5 linked regions of the Xenopus tropicalis genome follow. The protein of the gene in region 1 purifies or fractionates together with the protein of each later gene. This does not show direct contact. Links are inferred from orthologs where the notes say so. Each region holds a gene or a part of one and is shown on either strand. Other genes may lie near its edges.

What was found.
Region 2: the proteins of cops3 (region 1) and dcaf11 purify together in Homo sapiens (affinity purification with mass spectrometry; 3 studies listed by BioGRID and IntAct, counting the BioPlex papers as one, with this or other methods). This does not show direct contact. The link is inferred for Xenopus tropicalis from reciprocal best matches to the Homo sapiens genes COPS3 and DCAF11.
Region 3: the proteins of cops3 (region 1) and ddb2 purify together in Homo sapiens (affinity purification with mass spectrometry; 7 studies listed by BioGRID and IntAct, with this or other methods). This does not show direct contact. The link is inferred for Xenopus tropicalis from reciprocal best matches to the Homo sapiens genes COPS3 and DDB2.
Region 4: the proteins of cops3 (region 1) and dcaf1 purify together in Homo sapiens (affinity purification with mass spectrometry; 5 studies listed by BioGRID, with this or other methods). This does not show direct contact. The link is inferred for Xenopus tropicalis from reciprocal best matches to the Homo sapiens genes COPS3 and DCAF1.
Region 5: the proteins of cops3 (region 1) and btbd2 purify together in Homo sapiens (affinity purification with mass spectrometry; 3 studies listed by BioGRID and IntAct, counting the BioPlex papers as one, with this or other methods). This does not show direct contact. The link is inferred for Xenopus tropicalis from reciprocal best matches to the Homo sapiens genes COPS3 and BTBD2.

Annotation. Positions count from the first base shown.
Region 1 is NC_030685.2:15,774,604-15,778,122, forward strand, and holds part of cops3 (COP9 signalosome complex subunit 3), read left to right. Parts: intron 1-432; coding exon 433-612; intron 613-1,473; coding exon 1,474-1,614; intron 1,615-2,096; coding exon 2,097-2,270; intron 2,271-2,380; coding exon 2,381-2,467; intron 2,468-3,123; coding exon 3,124-3,237; intron 3,238-3,519. UniProt on the Homo sapiens protein: Component of the COP9 signalosome complex (CSN), a complex involved in various cellular and developmental processes.
Region 2 is NC_030677.2:139,466,755-139,470,273, reverse strand, and holds part of dcaf11 (DDB1- and CUL4-associated factor 11), read left to right. Parts: intron 1-374; coding exon 375-430; intron 431-503; coding exon 504-604; intron 605-985; coding exon 986-1,132; intron 1,133-2,433; coding exon 2,434-2,488; intron 2,489-2,621; coding exon 2,622-2,690; intron 2,691-3,519. UniProt on the Homo sapiens protein: May function as a substrate receptor for CUL4-DDB1 E3 ubiquitin-protein ligase complex.
Region 3 is NC_030680.2:15,447,852-15,450,606, forward strand, and holds part of ddb2 (DNA damage-binding protein 2), read left to right. Parts: intron 1-244; coding exon 245-433; intron 434-509; coding exon 510-655; intron 656-1,187; coding exon 1,188-1,287; intron 1,288-1,431; coding exon 1,432-1,609; intron 1,610-1,688; coding exon 1,689-1,834; intron 1,835-2,755.
Region 4 is NC_030680.2:127,315,020-127,318,538, reverse strand, and holds part of dcaf1 (DDB1- and CUL4-associated factor 1), read right to left. Parts: coding exon 2,332-3,519; intron 2,222-2,331; coding exon 2,023-2,221; intron 1,315-2,022; coding exon 1,232-1,314; intron 1,126-1,231; coding exon 1,041-1,125; intron 1-1,040. UniProt on the Homo sapiens protein: Acts both as a substrate recognition component of E3 ubiquitin-protein ligase complexes and as an atypical serine/threonine-protein kinase, playing key roles in various processes such as cell cycle, telomerase regulation and histone modification.
Region 5 is NC_030677.2:102,967,050-102,971,139, forward strand, and holds the start of btbd2 (BTB/POZ domain-containing protein 2), read left to right. Parts: upstream 1-1,290; 5' UTR 1,291-1,667; coding exon 1,668-2,134; intron 2,135-4,090.

The sequences.
Region 1 (3,519 bases):
CAGCACTACACATTAGAACTGCTTTCAGCTAACCTATTGTTTCTTCTACTCCCATGTAACTGGAGGAGTCCCAAGCCGGACTTGGATTTCTTACTATTGAGTGCTATTCTGATACCTACTGGGAGCTGCTATCTTGCTCCCTTCCCATTGTTCTGCTGATCGGCTGCTGGGAGGGGCGGGGAGGATATCCACTGATTACCTAATAGCAGTTGGAATTAGTATTGGTTTATTCCTTATTTCCTTCTCTCTGGTTGTGACTCTTGAAACAATCTCTCCTCCAGGCCTGCTAATTAGCTGGCTTCTACTACATTGGTTCAGGAGTATTTTATTTTAGCTATTACCTATTTTTAGCAAAAACTTGTGCAATTTTAGCATCAGCAAATGTAAAACTGTAGCATTTCACTGTTCTGATTTCTACATTTTCCTTTGTAGCTCTCTCTCTTAGCGAAATGTTTTAAGCCTGCACTTGCGTACCTAGATGTAGATATGATGGATATTTGCAAAGAGAATGGCGCTTACGATGCCAAGCCCTTCCTGTGTTACTACTATTACGGCGGGATGATTTACACAGGCTTGAAGAACTTCGAGAGAGCACTGTATTTTTATGAGCAGGTACAGTTGTTTTTTAGTTTCTGAGGCCTAGCCGGCTCTCTAATGCAGATTGAATGGCGTCTTAAGGTGGCCATACACGCTAAGATCCTTGGTGAGGTCGCCAAGTGAGCGGATCTTCTCCCAATATCCTCACCTACGGGTGGGCGATATCGGGTTAATTCTGTCGTTTGGCCCTGGAGCCAAACGATCGAATTAGAGCGATGGGTATAGGCGTCTGTCGGTTTGGGAACCTCATCAACGAGCTGATGTGGTCCCTAATCCGACGGATTTTTAAACCTGCCAGATTGATATCTTGCCAATTTCAGGCCAGATGTCAGGCAGGCCTGTCGTTAGTGCCCCTACACGGGCCGATAAGCTACCATTTTGATTGCCATCTCAACATGGCATGTGTCCTACAAAGAGTAAACAACATGGCTTTTTCTTCTGCTGTGTGGCATGAAAGGGTTATGGTGGCTTGTGACAAATGGGCTGTTTTATAAACACTGGGCAAATTTGCACCTAGGCAGTAACCCATGGCAAGTAATCAGATGTTTGCTTCAGTTGTTCTGTCTGCAGCTGCTGAATAAATGTAATCACTGATTCGTTGCTATGGGTTACTGCCCAGGTGCAAATTTGCTCAGTGTTTATAAATGACCCCCACTGAATATATAATTGTAGCATCAGTTATGCATGCCAATGGCTGCTCTACGCAGTGTAGCAAGATTAATATGCCACCATAGCACGGTTTATATGGCAGTAACTTGTGCTTAATCAATATTAAGCATTTTTTTCCTGTATAGTCTTGCATTATTAGTAGGTCAAATGGAATGAAATGAAATGTTGTTAACCCCTGTAATGATTTTGCTTGGTTTGTTTCTGCAGGCTATAACTACTCCAGCCATGGCTGTTAGTCACATAATGCTGGAAGCCTATAAAAAGTATATTCTAGTTTCCTTGATACTCCATGGAAAGGTTCAGCAGCTACCTAAATATACCTCGCAAATTGTCGGTAGATTTATCAAGGTAAGCTGGAACTAGTAGATTTGCTTAGATGTATTTTGTTGTGTGAAAATACAGCAAGTTAATTTCTCATGATTGTAAGTACTTGTAAGCAGGGACTTTTGTAACCCTTTTAAATAGTTTTTAATCCATAGAGGTGGGGAGAACAATTACTTTAACTTTTCTTTACCCCTTCACTTTCCCCCTCCTTCCTCACCATCTAAATCTGTAGCCATTGCATGGGCATCAGGCCCCCCCAATCTGGCACATACACAAGGTTTTGGGGTGATACAAAACTTGCCTTAATAACAGTGCCCACAAAATGGTGCCTGCCTGCTTTCTGTGATTGTGTAATTCCAAGACTGAAGGAAACAAGATTTATATAATTTATATAGTGGAAGTGAAGTTGCTTTTGCTTGACAAATACAACAGGTCCCCTTTAATCCTTAATGTTATGTAATTTTACAGACCTGTAGAAATGAATGTTTATTCATCTTCCGTTGCAGCCTCTTAGCAATGCTTACCATGAGTTAGCACAAGTCTATTCAACCAATAACCCAGCAGAGCTGCGGAATCTTGTAAGCAAACACAACGAAACCTTTACCAGGGACAACAACATGGGGCTGGTCAAGCAATGCCTGTCATCCCTCTACAAGAAGAACATTCAGAGACTTACCAAAGTAAGTGCCTTTCACTCCTCAGCGCACAGGGATAAGAACCCTCACTTGTATTGTTTTTATGCTGTGTAGTTTGTTCATAAAATGTTTAACGGCTACCCCTCTCATTGCAGACATTTTTAACGCTGTCGTTACAAGACATGGCTAGTCGAGTTCAGTTGTCCGGTGCTCAGGAGGCAGAAAAATATGTGCTGTACATGGTAAGAAGGGAAATGGTTGCTTCTCCCAACTTCCTTTATTATTGCTGTTAAATATAGTGTGGGCCAAAAGGAAATTGGCATCACTTGGAAGTGTAATGGACAGACTGTGCTGAGCCTCTGTCTAGTTTTCCTTTTTCAATTGATGTTAGACTTTTATTGCATTTATATAGTGAATAAAGTACCCCCTATTGTAAAATACAGGGATATTATAAGTCACCAAGGAGTTCCATGACCTTTATACAGGTGATAGAACTCCAAGGTGACTTCTAATATCCTAATATTTTACAACAGGGGGGTACTTTATTTATTATAATATACAAGTTTTAGTTAGTCATGTGACAGAAATCACTAAGCTCTGGTTATAACTGATTACATCACTAAGCACCATTTGTTAGGATATAATTTACAGTTTGGTCTTAATAGGGAAATGAACAAACTGTATACGATAATGATATTACAGTTATCCAAGTGTGAGGCCTGACAGTCAAGGGGCTATGGTATGTTATCATTGGGGATAGATCCATAAAAGCCTCCATAGGTTTTTCTATCACCTGTAAAGAGAGCTGCCATATTGTACCATAGGTCACTGTCACTGGGTTTGCTGCTGCTCAGATTTAGGCTGTTGTGCAGTCATCTCCTCCTTCTTTCTCCCCCAGATAGAAGATGGTGAAATATTTGCAAGTATTAATCAAAAAGACGGCATGGTGTGTTTTCACGATAACCCAGAGAAATACAACAATCCTGCGATGCTTCACAATATTGATCAAGAGGTGAGACGCATCTTTGTTTCATATAAATTGGGTCATAGTGACAAACTTATTTATTAATGTTTACCCAGTTTTAAAAATAGTCACTACTTGATAGAACTTTACGGTTCCTTTACATTTAACAATTAAAAGATTTTATTTTGCATATTTCATATTACAAACAATTAAACAAGAGAAAAACAAAGTAAAGAAGAAAGGAAGAAAGAGAAAGAAACGGGGGAGGGGAGGGTGAGGCTAAGGTAGCAGTTCTGGTTGTACCGGGTTACTAGTTATCCATATTCACCA
Region 2 (3,519 bases), on another chromosome or scaffold:
AAAAAATGTTTACTTCTTTTTAACAACAGGCCATTTTGCGGCTGAAATCAGGGTCACCTAAAGACAGAAGGCTAATTTGGCTCCTTTGTGGTGTACAAGCAAAGGCGTAAACTTCGCACTGTGCATCACTGTGCAAGTACTATGTGAATGGTCACCTAAGGGGAGCAATTTTGCATTATTTAGCACATCCATAAGTTGTGTAAGTTATCCATACTGTTTTGGTGTATTTTTATTCTGTGATAGAATTGCCCGGTACGTGAAAATAAAGCAGTTGGACTGTCAAAAAAGTCTGGGAAAGGACAGGACCTTTAAACCTATAGATTTTCAATGCTAGTAAATTTTCCCCCCATTGTCATTGTTTCTTATGTATGCAGAGAGAGCGGGCAGGATGTGGATTTACTATGGGAGAGCGTTGTCGTGTAACATCTCAGTGAGTATCAAGGGGCTTGTGTGTTTGATGGGTGATTATTTGTCATGATAACTGTCTTTCTGTCTTCTTTTAGTTTCCTCCCGAATCATGTATGTGCCACAGACTCATACTCCCAGAAGGCTTTCTGTGGGGTGTATTCCCCCAATGGATCTGTCTTTATGTCAGCATGTCAGGGTAGGTTGCAACTTTGTCCTCTACAGGTGCTGCAGCATATTCTTACCATTTGTATATCTTATCATATTTACTAATATCCCAATACTCTTGAATACATCTTCTTTCATTTACTTTATATTTACAACCCCAATTTGTTTCTCCTAATCATTTGTTTTATATTGGGGTGTTTTTTTGTTTTTTTTATTTGGCTTTCCAACCCCCTGTCATCTCTGCTTTTTAGACTACTGGTATGGGATCTCTTATCTGTAAACTTTAAAAGCTCTTAATTACAGGAATGCCATGTCCCATAGTTCTATGGTCCCTTTATTCTTCATTATTTTAAGCTCTTATAAATTAAAATGTATCTATACTGCCTGGTAACCTCTAGATTTCTTCTCCTAGATCAAAACATCCGCTTATATGATTGTAGAAATGGTGCCTTTAAGAAATTTCGCACTGTTAAGGCTCGGGATGTTGGCTGGAGTGTCTTGGATGTGGCATTTACCCCGGATGGAGGACATTTTCTGTACTCCAGCTGGTCAGACTACAGTGAGTATTAGTGATGATTGAAAAGGTTTCACTGCGGAAAAACACCAGTGGCTGCAATGGGTTTCACAGTCGTTTTCAGTGCAGGCACACAGAGCAGTGTAGGGAAGCAGATCCGCTTCTCTCACCCGGATGGAAAAAACACAGTGCTGAGAGAAGCAGAGCATATGTTCTGTGTGCCTTTGCCCTTAGAAGAGCACTATGAGCAATTTTACATTGTTATATGGATATTTATCCACTTTAAATAAGAATGCTAAAACTTGTGTTTGGGTACAACTACCAATCATACAATTAACATGCAGTGTGAAAGTAAGTATTTTGGACAGCGCCCTCTTTACCTCTTTTTGTGTTTTTGTATGTATTCTGGTTGTTTAATGTATGCACCTATTTATTGTACAGCTCTGTGTGAAATGTTGGTGGTTTATTGGTAATAATACAACCCCATTTTTATAAAGTTGGGATGCTGTGTAAAATATAAATAAAAACAGAATGCGATTTGCAAACCATCCCATTGTCTTTTTATTTACAATTTAAACAGTGTTCCAACTTATTTGGAAATTGGGTTGTAAAAATAATAACGGGAATGCATGTATGCTACAATTGATTCTATTTAAGAGAAAATGTCAGCTCAGCGGGGCAATCTTAATATGGTGTAGACAGTCCATCACTTATATTGGTTATACAGGTATAGGACCCGTTATCTAGAATGCTCGGGACCCAAGGGTATGCAGGATAAGGATTCTTTCTGTAATTTGGATCTCCGTACCTTAAGTCTACTAAAAAATCAATAAAACATTAATTAAACCCAACAGGACTGTTTTGTATCCAAAAAGGATTATTCAAATCTTAGTTGGGATCAATTACAAGGAACCGTTTTATTATTAGAGAGAAAAAGAAAATCATTTTTAAAATTCTGAATTATTTGATTAAAATGGGAGATGGGCTTTCCGTAAAATGGGAGATGAGCTTTCTGGATAACGGGTTTCCGGATAAGGGATCCCATGCATTCAATCCAAAGCAAGCTTTGACTTCTGGAAAGCAATACTTTACATGTGTTTTTTAGAACGTTCTCATGTTATGTGTAATAAATATGTTTTGTGCAAAGTTTGTGTACCACCTAGTGTGCTGTAGGATGCACTATAAAACTATGATATTCAGATTCAGAGATTTCAATCCTAGCTGGAATTCATTATTCAATATTGAAAACTAAATATTATTTTCATTTATGCATCAAATATATAATTATATTGTAGAAGTTTAACAGTAACACTAATATTATTCTGATTTTTTTCCTTTGATTTCAGTTCATATCTGTAATATATATGGAGATACTGAATCGCACACTGCCCTGGATCTGAGGTACTTTGTGTGAGAAAAATGTCCACTAGTAGTTTTATATTTTGTTATCTTAACCCACTTCAGTTTCAGTTTTGTGCCATTCTGTGTCTGCTTTTTTTTTCTTTTCATCCTTGCCACTAAATTCTTTTTATAGCCCCTCAGAGCGTCGTTTTGCTGTTTTTTCTCTCACTGTATCTTCTGATGGACGAGAAATTCTGGGAGGGTAAGTATATACGACAATTGCTTGGTTGACTAGTGATATTGCCTTTGGGCTTTATTTATACACAAAATTGTGTGCAGCTTTTCTCACAAGGGTACCAGTGTACCTGCTCAGCCTACTCTAATGAACTGCATAGATGGATGCAAAAGACTTGTAAACCAGCAGCCTTTACCTGCCAGTAATTGTAGAGTTCGCTTGCTACTTGGACACTAAAGCTGGCATCGCCAAGCGAGCGGATCTTCACCCGATAACCCCACCTACGGGTGGGCGATATTGGGAAGGCATGTAGGCGAATTCGATCGTTTGGCCCTGGGCCAGATATCGGTCGGCCAGGCCAAGGGACTGATATCGGAAGCTATAATCGGCCTGTGTTTGGGGACCTCAAGGCTGTTGTTGATGGTGCTACAAGAAGTATACAATGTCATTTAAAAACACAGATTCTAATTAGTTTTTTTTATATTACTGCATCATATGCAAATTGCTGTGGATGCATTGATGCAGGACTTATGGGTGCATTGTGGGTAAAATAATTTTGATTAGCATCTAGATAAAAATGAGCAATCATATACAATATAATGTAATTGGGAGTGTGTAATTGAAATTGTTGGTAGTTACGTCATGAAACCAGCTTATAAATGAATGCATTACTTAATGAATGTGTAATTGAAATAAAAAGTCTTTGCAGTAGATACTCTGTGATGATGTCCAACATCCCCATTACAGCAAACCAACCACCGCTGTACAGACCTCACTTTTTGCATGGGGACATTATTGTGTTGAAACAGGGCCAAAAGGGCCTTCCCAGACTATTGCCACAAAGTAGGAAGCACAG
Region 3 (2,755 bases), on another chromosome or scaffold:
TATATTAAATTGCACCCCTCATATTTAGGGCAGTGGCAAATTGAAGCTGCTCCATGTTTGGTCCTTGCAAGGCAGATCATTAGATTAGTGCATTGATAATTCCCTGGCTAACAAAGCTATCATAACAAAGGGTGAAGGGAATAGGGTTTGCATACTGCTAATTAAATATTTTCTTTGCAAGGACTAAAAATGGAGGAGCTTCAGGTTGGTTTAATTATTAATGCATTCACCTATTTCTTTTCAGTACCTGCAAACCCCTTTTCTCCGGTCCCTGGCTTCATACATATTATATCGGACCAACAGCCCCTTTGATCGCAGAGTTACCACTCTTGAGTGGCACCCTACGCACCCGAATACAGTGGCGGTGGGATCAAAAGGAGGAGACATCATTCTGTGGGACTATGAAGAGCTCAATAACACCCTCATTCCTGGGGTGAGTCCAGTTCTTCTCGCCCCGCTGGATCCCTCTCGCACATGGCTACAACTTTGCTGTGTTTTTATCCTTGCAGATTGGAGCCGGGGGGTGCATCACCGGAATGAAGTTCGACCCGTTTAACCCTAATCAGTTGTACACCTCATCAGTGGCGGGTAGCACCGTGCTACAGGACTTCTCTGGGCGCAATATTCAGACATTCACCAACACTGAGGACTGGGCGTAAGCGAGATGGCTCTGTGGGGTAGGCGGGAGTACTGACCCTCAGTGGGGGCGGAATTATTGCTTAATTGGCTGTAGTGTCCTGGTACCCAAGGGCTTTCCCTCTGAAGCTACCACCCAAGGGGCTTGGGTTCCTATATAGAAAATACGATCCTTGCTAGAAATAGTGGTGAGCATAATGTGCCATTGCCCTTTTTAAATGTGATTACTAGCTGCTGCAGATAGGGTGAGCTGAACCCCCCCCTCATGCACAGTATGGCACATATAATTATCTAGTATACAGGCTCCTGACTGGTTGATCCTGTATGCATAGATAATTAAGTCGCCAGTCCAAAGAAAGGAAGCAGGATACACTGTAAAACTGTTTACTTCCCATTTAACATGGAATATCATCATTTTCACAAAAATAAATATTCTTTTTATATCTGTTAATGGCCCATTCCAAACCTGGCACATGGATATAACTAGGGGTGCTTACATGCAGTTTTGGGGCTTTTGGCCTTTGGTTTAACTGCCACTGGTTCTTCCATAGGATGTGGTACTGCAGCCTCGATGTTTCCGCTGAAAGGCAGTGTGTGGTCACGGGGGATAATGTAGGCAACGTGGTCCTCCTGGAGACCTGTGGGAAGGAGGTGGGTATTGTCCAGCCCTGGACTTCCTGTTTTTAGATTGTAAGCTCTTTGGGGCAGAGACCTTATTCCAACCCTATACTGATCATGGTGAATGAAAGTGGTCCCTTGGCACGGGAGACTGACCCTTGGCACCTTTATTCTCAGATCTGGAAGTTACGGCTTCACAAAAAGAAAGTGACGCATGTAGAGTTTAACCCTCGCTGTGATTGGCTGCTGGCGTCCGCTTCTGTGGATCAGACCGTGAAGCTGTGGGACCTGCGCAATATCAAAGACAAGTCCAGCTACCTGTACACATTGCCTCATGCACGTGGCGTCAACTCTGGTAAGCGCTGTTCCCTACACCCGGTATCCTGACAGGTAATCGTGGCCATTTGTGACTCATGGTGGTCTCTCTATTGCAGCTTATTTTAGCCCCTGGGATGGGGCAAAGCTACTCACTACCGATCAGCACAGTGAGATCCGTGTCTATTCTGCGTGTGATTGGGCCAAACCGCAGCACATAATACCTCATCCACACCGGCAATTCCAACATTTGACTGCAATTAAGGTATATAAAGCTATATAAATATAGCATTCATCTATAAAATATCCTAAAGTACAGCACTTAAATATGTCAGTTGTACTGTGAAATGTAAGGATCCTGGCCCGCAGGGAGATTAGTCGGCCGCAGGTGGGAAAAACAGGTGGGAAAAACAGGGCACTTTGTTTCTCTTAAGTCACCCAGAGTTGCCTGGCAAGGAAACTATGGGGAATGGCAAAGCATAGCGAAGATTTATCGCAGTTGACTAATATCCCCAAGTGCCAGTACCCCAAGGATATTCGTCTTGCTCCATATAGCTTGTAGCCTAATCACTTTACATGCTTCCTCCTCAGTTATTTCTAATATCCTTATAATTTACAGTAGGGGGTACATGTTCACTGTATAACTCAGCCTGCAGCCTTGTGCCTTTATATGGTCACAGAGCCCCTCAGTGACTGCTAATATCCTTATCATTTACAGTAGGGGGTACATTATCCCTTATAATACATGAGTGATACTCAGAGTTCCCTGTATAACTCAGCCTGCAGCCTTGTGCCTTTATATGGGCACAGAACCCCTCAGTGACTTCTAATATCCTTATCATTTACAGTAGGGGGTACATTATCCCTTATAATACATGAGTGGTACTCAGAGTTCCCTGTATAACTCAGCCTGCAGCCTTGTGCCTTTATATGGGGGGCACAGAACCCCTCAGTGACTGCTAATATCCTTATCATTTACAGTAGGGGGTACATGTTCACTGTATAACTCAGCCTGCAGCCTTGTGCATTTATATGGGCACAGAACCCCTCAGTGACTGCTAATATCCTTATCATTTACAGTAGGGGGTACATTATCCCTTATAATACATGAGTGATACTCAGAGTTCCCTGTATAACTCAGCCTGCAGCCTTGTGCCTTTATATGGGCACAGAACCCCCTCAATGA
Region 4 (3,519 bases), on another chromosome or scaffold:
TTAATTTCTCCCTTGAAATTGCATATTCAAACAGACAACATTTCACAAATCTAAAATACTGTTAAATTAGATTTGTATCACTCTGCACAGGAAGTAGTGCCAGACTGACAGGAGACACAGCCAATAGGAGTTAAGCATGCTGCCAGTACTATGTGTGATTCTGAGACGAATCTCTCTTCAGCTGCACATTTCTGTTAACTATGTATATGACAAAGATAGTTCTGTTAACTATTAGATTTGTGAATGTTGTACAAAGGTGAAAAACCCCTTTAATGTACTAAATAATTTCATATACTATCCATAAATCAGAGCAGACTGGCAACTAAAGCTCCTGGGAGGTTTTTAGCTCACAACAGCCTTGGAGGCCTTAGTTGCTTATTTTATGGTTCTACAATAGTGAAATAGTCCAGGGCATTAGATAACGTTGTAATTCAAACTTAGGGGTTGATATAAGCTGGCCATCTACATGAGCCCACCATGTAATATGATAATAACCCAAGCAGTCAAATGAGCTTTTCTTCTCTTCTACATTGAACTCTACTATAACATTTGCTGTGAGCCGGTCGGCTCCTAACAATGCAATAATATACAGTCTTCTTCTGAATGTTTGGCTTCTCCTAGATTTTTACGTTTGAAAGGTTCAAAATCTGCCATAGAATATATGTTGTATTATATATGGTATATACACGTTATTCTGTATTCTGAATTACAAGTAGGCCATCTCCCATAGACTGCAGTTTAATTAAACAATTTACATTTTTAAAAATAATTTCCTTTTTCACTGTAGTAATAAAACAGTATTTGTACTTGATCACAAGTTCACAACTAAGATATAATGAATCCCTATTGGAGGCAAAATAATTCTTTTGTGTTTATTTAAAGCTAAATTTATTTTTCAGTAGACAAGGTAAGGAGATCTACATTACAGAAACTTATTTAAAAAAAACCCAGGTCCTAAATATTCTGGATAGGAGGTCCAATACCAGTACAACAAAGATTGGTTGAGAGCTAATTCCACAGCCAAAAAGGTAAATACTCACATGAGCCACATCTTCTTTTGTGCCAATGACACGATCCTGTGAAAGTTTGCTGAATTCAACATAATGATCCTCAGTAAATGAATGCCTAGAAATGAAAATGTAGTTGAGATTAAAAACTGCCCCTAAAGATGGTTGTGTTTTTAAACAGGAGCACTTTTTCTAAGGACTATTTGTTAACCTAGCAAACTCACTTCATTTCAAATACAGATTTCATGCTCCAAAGTGCTGAGAGAGGTTGGCTCCATGTGGCTGCAGTTAGAAGAAGAGACCCATCCTGTGAGAGAAGGACAGGAAAGGTTGACTGGGAGTTTAAAGGAGAACTAAAGCCTAATTAAAGAAGTAGGGCAGAAATATTGTACATTATGTTTCTGGCTTCTGCACCAGCGCGTGGCACCCACAGCCCTTTAGCAGGGAAGATCTGTGCCCCCAAAGATGCCCCCAGTAGCTCCCCATCTTCTTTGCTGATTCACTATACATGCTCTGTGCTGCTGTTAGTTACTGAGCTTAGGGGCTGATGCACAATATACTGTATATATAGAAAATAAATGTCATAATATAAGGCTGATTTAGAAAAGAATACATATAATTACTACATGGCAGCTCTGAAACCAGTGCAATTAGCATCACAATTTAATAATCAGCCCTGTATCATCAGCTTATATGACAGCTGAACCTCATTTTCTGCCTGATAATTTGCGACAAATCCTAAGCTTAGCTTCTCAACAGCTGCTAAGAGCATACGGAGCATGTGAGTGTCAAAGACACTTCCGAGTTAGGGAGCTCCTGTGACAAGTTTTAAAGTCTGGTCATGCTTCTATAGAGATGCTGAAACTTTAGGCTGTGCAATATATTCAGTATATAAAATATGGCATTTTTATCCATATTCATTTTTAGGTTTTAGTTCCCCTATAAAAGGAGAGACTGAAAAAGTGAGATGCAGGCCAGGCAAAGGCAGGGAGGTTATTAACTGAATGATGCTTACCCGAGATGGCTCCAAGTGTGTTATTGCAGAGATATGGCAATTGTAACTAGCTTCTTCCTGCCCACTAAACACGTTGTATAGTTTCAACTGCCCTGTGCACGTTCCCAACATCAGAAAGCGCTCACGTGCAGAGAATGCACAACAGGTGAAACCACTCTCATCTTCATTGGTTTCACGAAACACAGATATTGGACGGAACCTGCCAACAAGGAAGATAACATTAGACTCTAAAAGCATTTGTTCCAGGTTTCCCTTGAGTCTTCTCAAAACAAGAAATTCCAAACATAATTATGTGGTCCCCTACATTACCTGCTGAATATTAGATGTCGGTCAAAACAGCCCCCATCTACACCTCCATATTTGGGAAAGGCAGCACGTCGGGTTAATCTGGAAGTGCAGTTTGTAGGGGCTTGCCTGCGTTGTTTAGGCTCTGGGCACTGATGTGGAGTAAAGAGGGAGAAAGGGGGGCATATAGCAACTGGATTCTTGCAGCGTGCATGCTGTTCTCGCAGATACTCAGTCATAATGCTGTCCAGAGTGGGAGGAGACGGCACATGTCTTTCCATTTGCTTTCTGAAGGCAGGGCTTTGGCTATAGGCTCCATGATCTGATTTCTGCCGCAGAACACGCCCCCTCTTTCCATTACAAGGTGACTGCCGTTCTCGAGCAAAGCTGATACGCCCAATGAGTGGTGAGCCTGTGGATACTGGGGCAGGAGATGATAAAGGTGGTGGTAACTGAGGTCTTGAAGAAGGAGGGTGAGGGCACAGTGCTGTACTTGAAAGTCTAGCAGGGATCCGTGGTGTGCGTGGCAGAGAAACAGGTGAAGAAGTAGTGGGTGGTTGGGTAGCAGTGGCAGGCAGGTAGGTAGAAGAATGCAAAGCAGCAGTCATAGGTAGATCAGCCTCTCGCGTCAATGTGGCCACAGTTTCCTGCAATCCCTTGGATACCAGGTGATTCCGTATTAGTAGCAAGAGTTCTTTTTCAGGGAATGTAATACGAGATTGTGCTACTACATCTGCCTTTTGCAGGCGTGCAAGAGACACATCACTTCCCATTAGCAGTGGCTTCCCAGACACTCGCTCAATCAACTCGGCTGCATACTTGCAGAACCGCACATGCTCACTACGCTTGTCCTGGAGGATTGGCTCTTTCATCAGCTGCTGGATCTGGCTGCTGCTGAACAGGGGCAGCTTTGAAATAATTTGTCGAACTGAAGTGCTCCTGCTTAGGCCAACTAGTGCCTTGCAAGCCAAAGCCCTGATCTGATCGGCATCCGTGATGGGCATTTTAACAGACAGCAAAGACAAAAGAACTTTGATACCATTATTAGATTGGACAACATTCCACATCTTGGAAAGTGTAGGCTCTCCACGTCCGTGATGATGGAAGGTCGGACAAACAAGTCCCCTTCTTCGAGGTGTCCCAGAGACATACTTGCCAATGCTGGAGACTCGCGTTTCAGGAGCACAAACACAGTTGATGATAATCTGAAGG
Region 5 (4,090 bases), on another chromosome or scaffold:
TCGTGCCTTAGTGTGCTTGCACTCATGCCCCCCAAGGTTGTAAATTACCCCTTATATTGTCAAGGCTAATACCTAGTAAACAGGTTTCTAGGCTTTTCTTAGTTGGTCACCACATCCATATGATCTAGCACTTGGGTCCAGATCCAAGCAGCAAAGAGGCTCTGTGTACATTGCAATACACCGTGTCTGTAGTTTAGGGATACAAGTTAGTTATGTCTAATGCATTTCACTAATCTTTCACCAATCTTTATTGCTTAGTTACAAAGGTCCTGTTGTCTTATATCCCTTACACTCTCTGCTATTTGTGGATTAACAAAGTAGGATTGAATATACAACGGGTCTGAATAGAGCCAAATTATCTGTAGTTTGTACAAAATTAAGAGATTCTGAGAACGAGCACATAATTTTAGTCTAAATATGCATTTTATGTTCTGGGTGTGTCTTGGTCAATTCTTAAATGCACTCCCTTCTCTGCAAGTTTCTGCGCTGATCAGGGGCAAATGACATGGTGTTGGTGACAGGACTGTGCGGGCAAAATAGGGCAGCTTGTCTATGTTCTCCTAGGATGCTATTTCTTGTATTTGTTCTTACTAGCATTGGTTTTACCTAAGTGCCTTTGAGTTGTTCACACCCAAGTAATGGTCTCTTGTTGTATAATCATTTACCTTGTATGTCATTTGCTATTATTAAAGGAGACATATTGGATAAATGGGAAAAACCCTAATTTTGTAGGCAATTATGAATAATATACGGTGCTGGTTTCACTTTGTGCTAAATATTAATCCTCTCTGTAAAAAATGGACCCTTTATTGGAGCTCCCTATAGATGGTATCACTTATCCGTCCAGTGTGAAATGAAGAGTGGGCGTGTCCTAAAGGTCCCTGCCAGAAGCACAGTAGGAGGGGGAGAGCCAATCACAGCCCTGCCCTCACACAAGCACAGACAGGCTTCAGTTCCCTATCAGGTCGGCCTGGGTGCTGATTGGTTCCTATCCTACAGTGGAGTGTACTGAGAGCCGCCAGCTCCCCTGCACATCCAGAGAATTCAGCCAGCAGGAAGTGGCACAGATGGGCGGGGCTAGTGGGGGTTTTGTGGAATTTCTCAATAAATCAGTCAGAAACACAACTTTTTAAGCACAATCCTTCTATATCTAGAGGAGTATAATTCCCTGGTACATTCTTAATTTTTATAGGATATGTCTCCTTTAACAGTTTTAGAAAACTGCAACAAAAATAGCATTGGGAGATCAATGACATGTCTTTAAAGGAGGGATACAATCCATGCATGCGTATAATCATCCCAAAACATTCCAGTTCAGTAATCCGTCAAATCGTGTCTCTGATCTCCAGTTTGAACTTCGCTGCTTTAGAAAACTGCACCATCGAGAATCTCCAGAGTCAATGCAACAGCACGTGACATAGGACTGCCCGAACGCTCAGATACAGAGGACCAATCAGCTAGTAGATATTGCATCATGTGGCACAGACGGGGGGTTTGGGCTAACATTAAGTAATATGTGAGGTTGTGCTTCTACTCTTTCGTCCAATAAGCGCTCGCTCGCATGAATGTACGATGCCCCGCCTCTAGTTAGCAACGCTGCCTCCCTTCAATGCCCTCTTCTTTTCCATCTCATCGGGTTGCCATAGAGACAGCGGCCTTGCCGCCTCATGCGCCGTTGCTGCCCGGTTCTGTTTGTAAACAGCCCCGGGGACCCGCCTCCCTCACCTTCCTCCTCCTGCCCCCGCCCACCGGAGCCTCCCCCATCCAAGATGGCGGCGGGTGGGAGCGGCGGCCTGTCGTTTCCCGGGGTGGTGGGGAACAGCGCCCCCAGCAACCGCGGTGGCTCCTCGGCCTCCTCGTACAACTATAGCGGCGGGGCTGGGGCCTCGTCCCCCGGGAATCAGGCAGCTGCTGCAGTTTCGGCATCTGGAGTTTCGCCTCCTGCTGCACCACCGCCGCCTCCTCCTGCTGCTGCTGCTGCTGCTGGCCTGCTCCGGGAGCCCGTGTACAACTGGCAGGCCACCAAAACCACGGTGCGGGAAAGGTTCACCTTCCTCTTCAACAACGAAGTGCTAAGCGACGTCCACTTCCTTGTGGGGAAAGGACTGGGAAGCCAGCGGATCCCGGCGCACAGGTATGTGGTACAGGTGGCATAGTGACAGGCTAGTGGGATGCCCAGCGCAGTACGGACCCAGTCAGCCATTCCTCTGCGGCTGATACTGGCATTGGCTAATATATATATATATATATATATCTTAAGTGCTTGTGCCACTCGCCATTGGCAGTTTGCTTTACACATCCTCATTGCGTGCTGTCAGAGTTACCCAAGAGACCTAAGCAGGGCTGATGCCATTCATGCTGGGCCTCATATAGATAGGGTCTGCTGTATAGGGCAGTGTCATGAGATGAATCTAAATCGTATTTATTTACATAACATTCTGTGCATAAGGATCAGTGTGCCAACGGGGAACTTTGAGGGAGAGGTATGCTTCTCTGTTGACATAAGACATGATGTCAACAAGGACACAAGGCTGATGGATTCCTGAAAGCCCATTGCAAAGCTGTGAGTGGTAAGCCTTTGTGCAACTACAGTGGGTACTCTGCACTACACTGGCACAAAACATTATAACTTGGCTATGTTGGCCTAACATTCACTAATAGTAACTTGCACATCAAGGTGAGACATGTGCATGCCCAGGCGTGTGTGTGTGTACTCCACATTCTGCCTTTATTGCCTAGTGCCAACTGAGGGCAACTTATTGATGAGCCTAGTAAAAAGATGAATTACCAAGAATTAGAAGTCATTGAAATATAATGTAAAACATTTAGCAACATTAGTGTTTGTCAGTCCTTTCTATTCTCTGCCCTGGTGCCTCTGACGTTTGAAACAATGTAACCCAAGCCAGCAGACTGACAGACCTGACTTCCTGGAAGACATTATTTAAAAAGTCATAACGAGAAGTTAAGTAAATGCTGCTTTCAATAGCAATTATATTTACAAATAACTGTTAATGTACGAAACATTTTTATTAATTTCATTTTGGAAAGTTTCTTAGAATCATATTTTCTTTTATTAGAAAAACATTTTGGGGCTTGGTGTCCTTTAAAATAAGTAAAGTTCGCAAACTGCAAGACTTATTTGAAAGCCTTATTTGTGGACATTGCTAAAATCTGTTCCAGTAAACGGAAAAATTAGAGATAAATTGATTAATGGGGATGTCTGAGTACTTTTGAAATGTAATGTTTTTTTTTTTTTTAAGATTTAAAAATATTAATATCAGGCTTTCAGCTCAGCAGCCCTTTCTTAGAACTGCTGTGTTGGGTTAACTTAATGTGCAAACAGCATCTCCAATGAAAAGCAGCTCTGCATCACACTCTCTCTCTTTTTGGGATTTTAAAGCTGCATTGACAGCCAGAGGGGAATATCTGCTTCCCTAGAATTTTCCCCTATTACATATTTATCAGATCAGGGATCTGACAGGGACCTGATGAGGTCACATGCATACCTCAGAAAAAGTACCTTTTTAAATTTAGTGCTTGAGTGCATTTTGTTATTTCCCTTTCCAGTCCTAACCAAGCTTAAACTGCAGATACGTTTAGTAGAGCAGCCTAAGCAAGTTAACTCTTATTTTATTTATTTTTGCTTTTAGTTTCCTTTCAAGTGTAGTTCACTAGTCTCATATATTTGGTTGTCCAAAAAATCACACAGGGTGAATGTGATTTTTTTTCATGTCCCCCAAACTGCTCAACACCTCTATTGACCTCTTTGTAGGTCATTATTTTATTATGATCTGGCCCTCAACCATGTAGTATAGTGATTAGCTGGTCCACAATATGGAAACAGCTGGAAGACAGTGGTATAATACAATTAAAGGCAATGATGGAAGGAATACTTCAAGGGTGAAGTCATAAAACAGGTGTACATTTTATCCATAGCAATAAATTCATACTTTTGCGTTTTTTTGTTCCAAACTTCTCTGGTAGTCAGTTGTGATTGCTTGCTGTGCAGGCCCAGACTGGAAATCTGTAGATTCTGGTAAATACCAGAGGGGCTCCTGGTAAAGTTCTTAGCATGCAATGTGTTAACAGG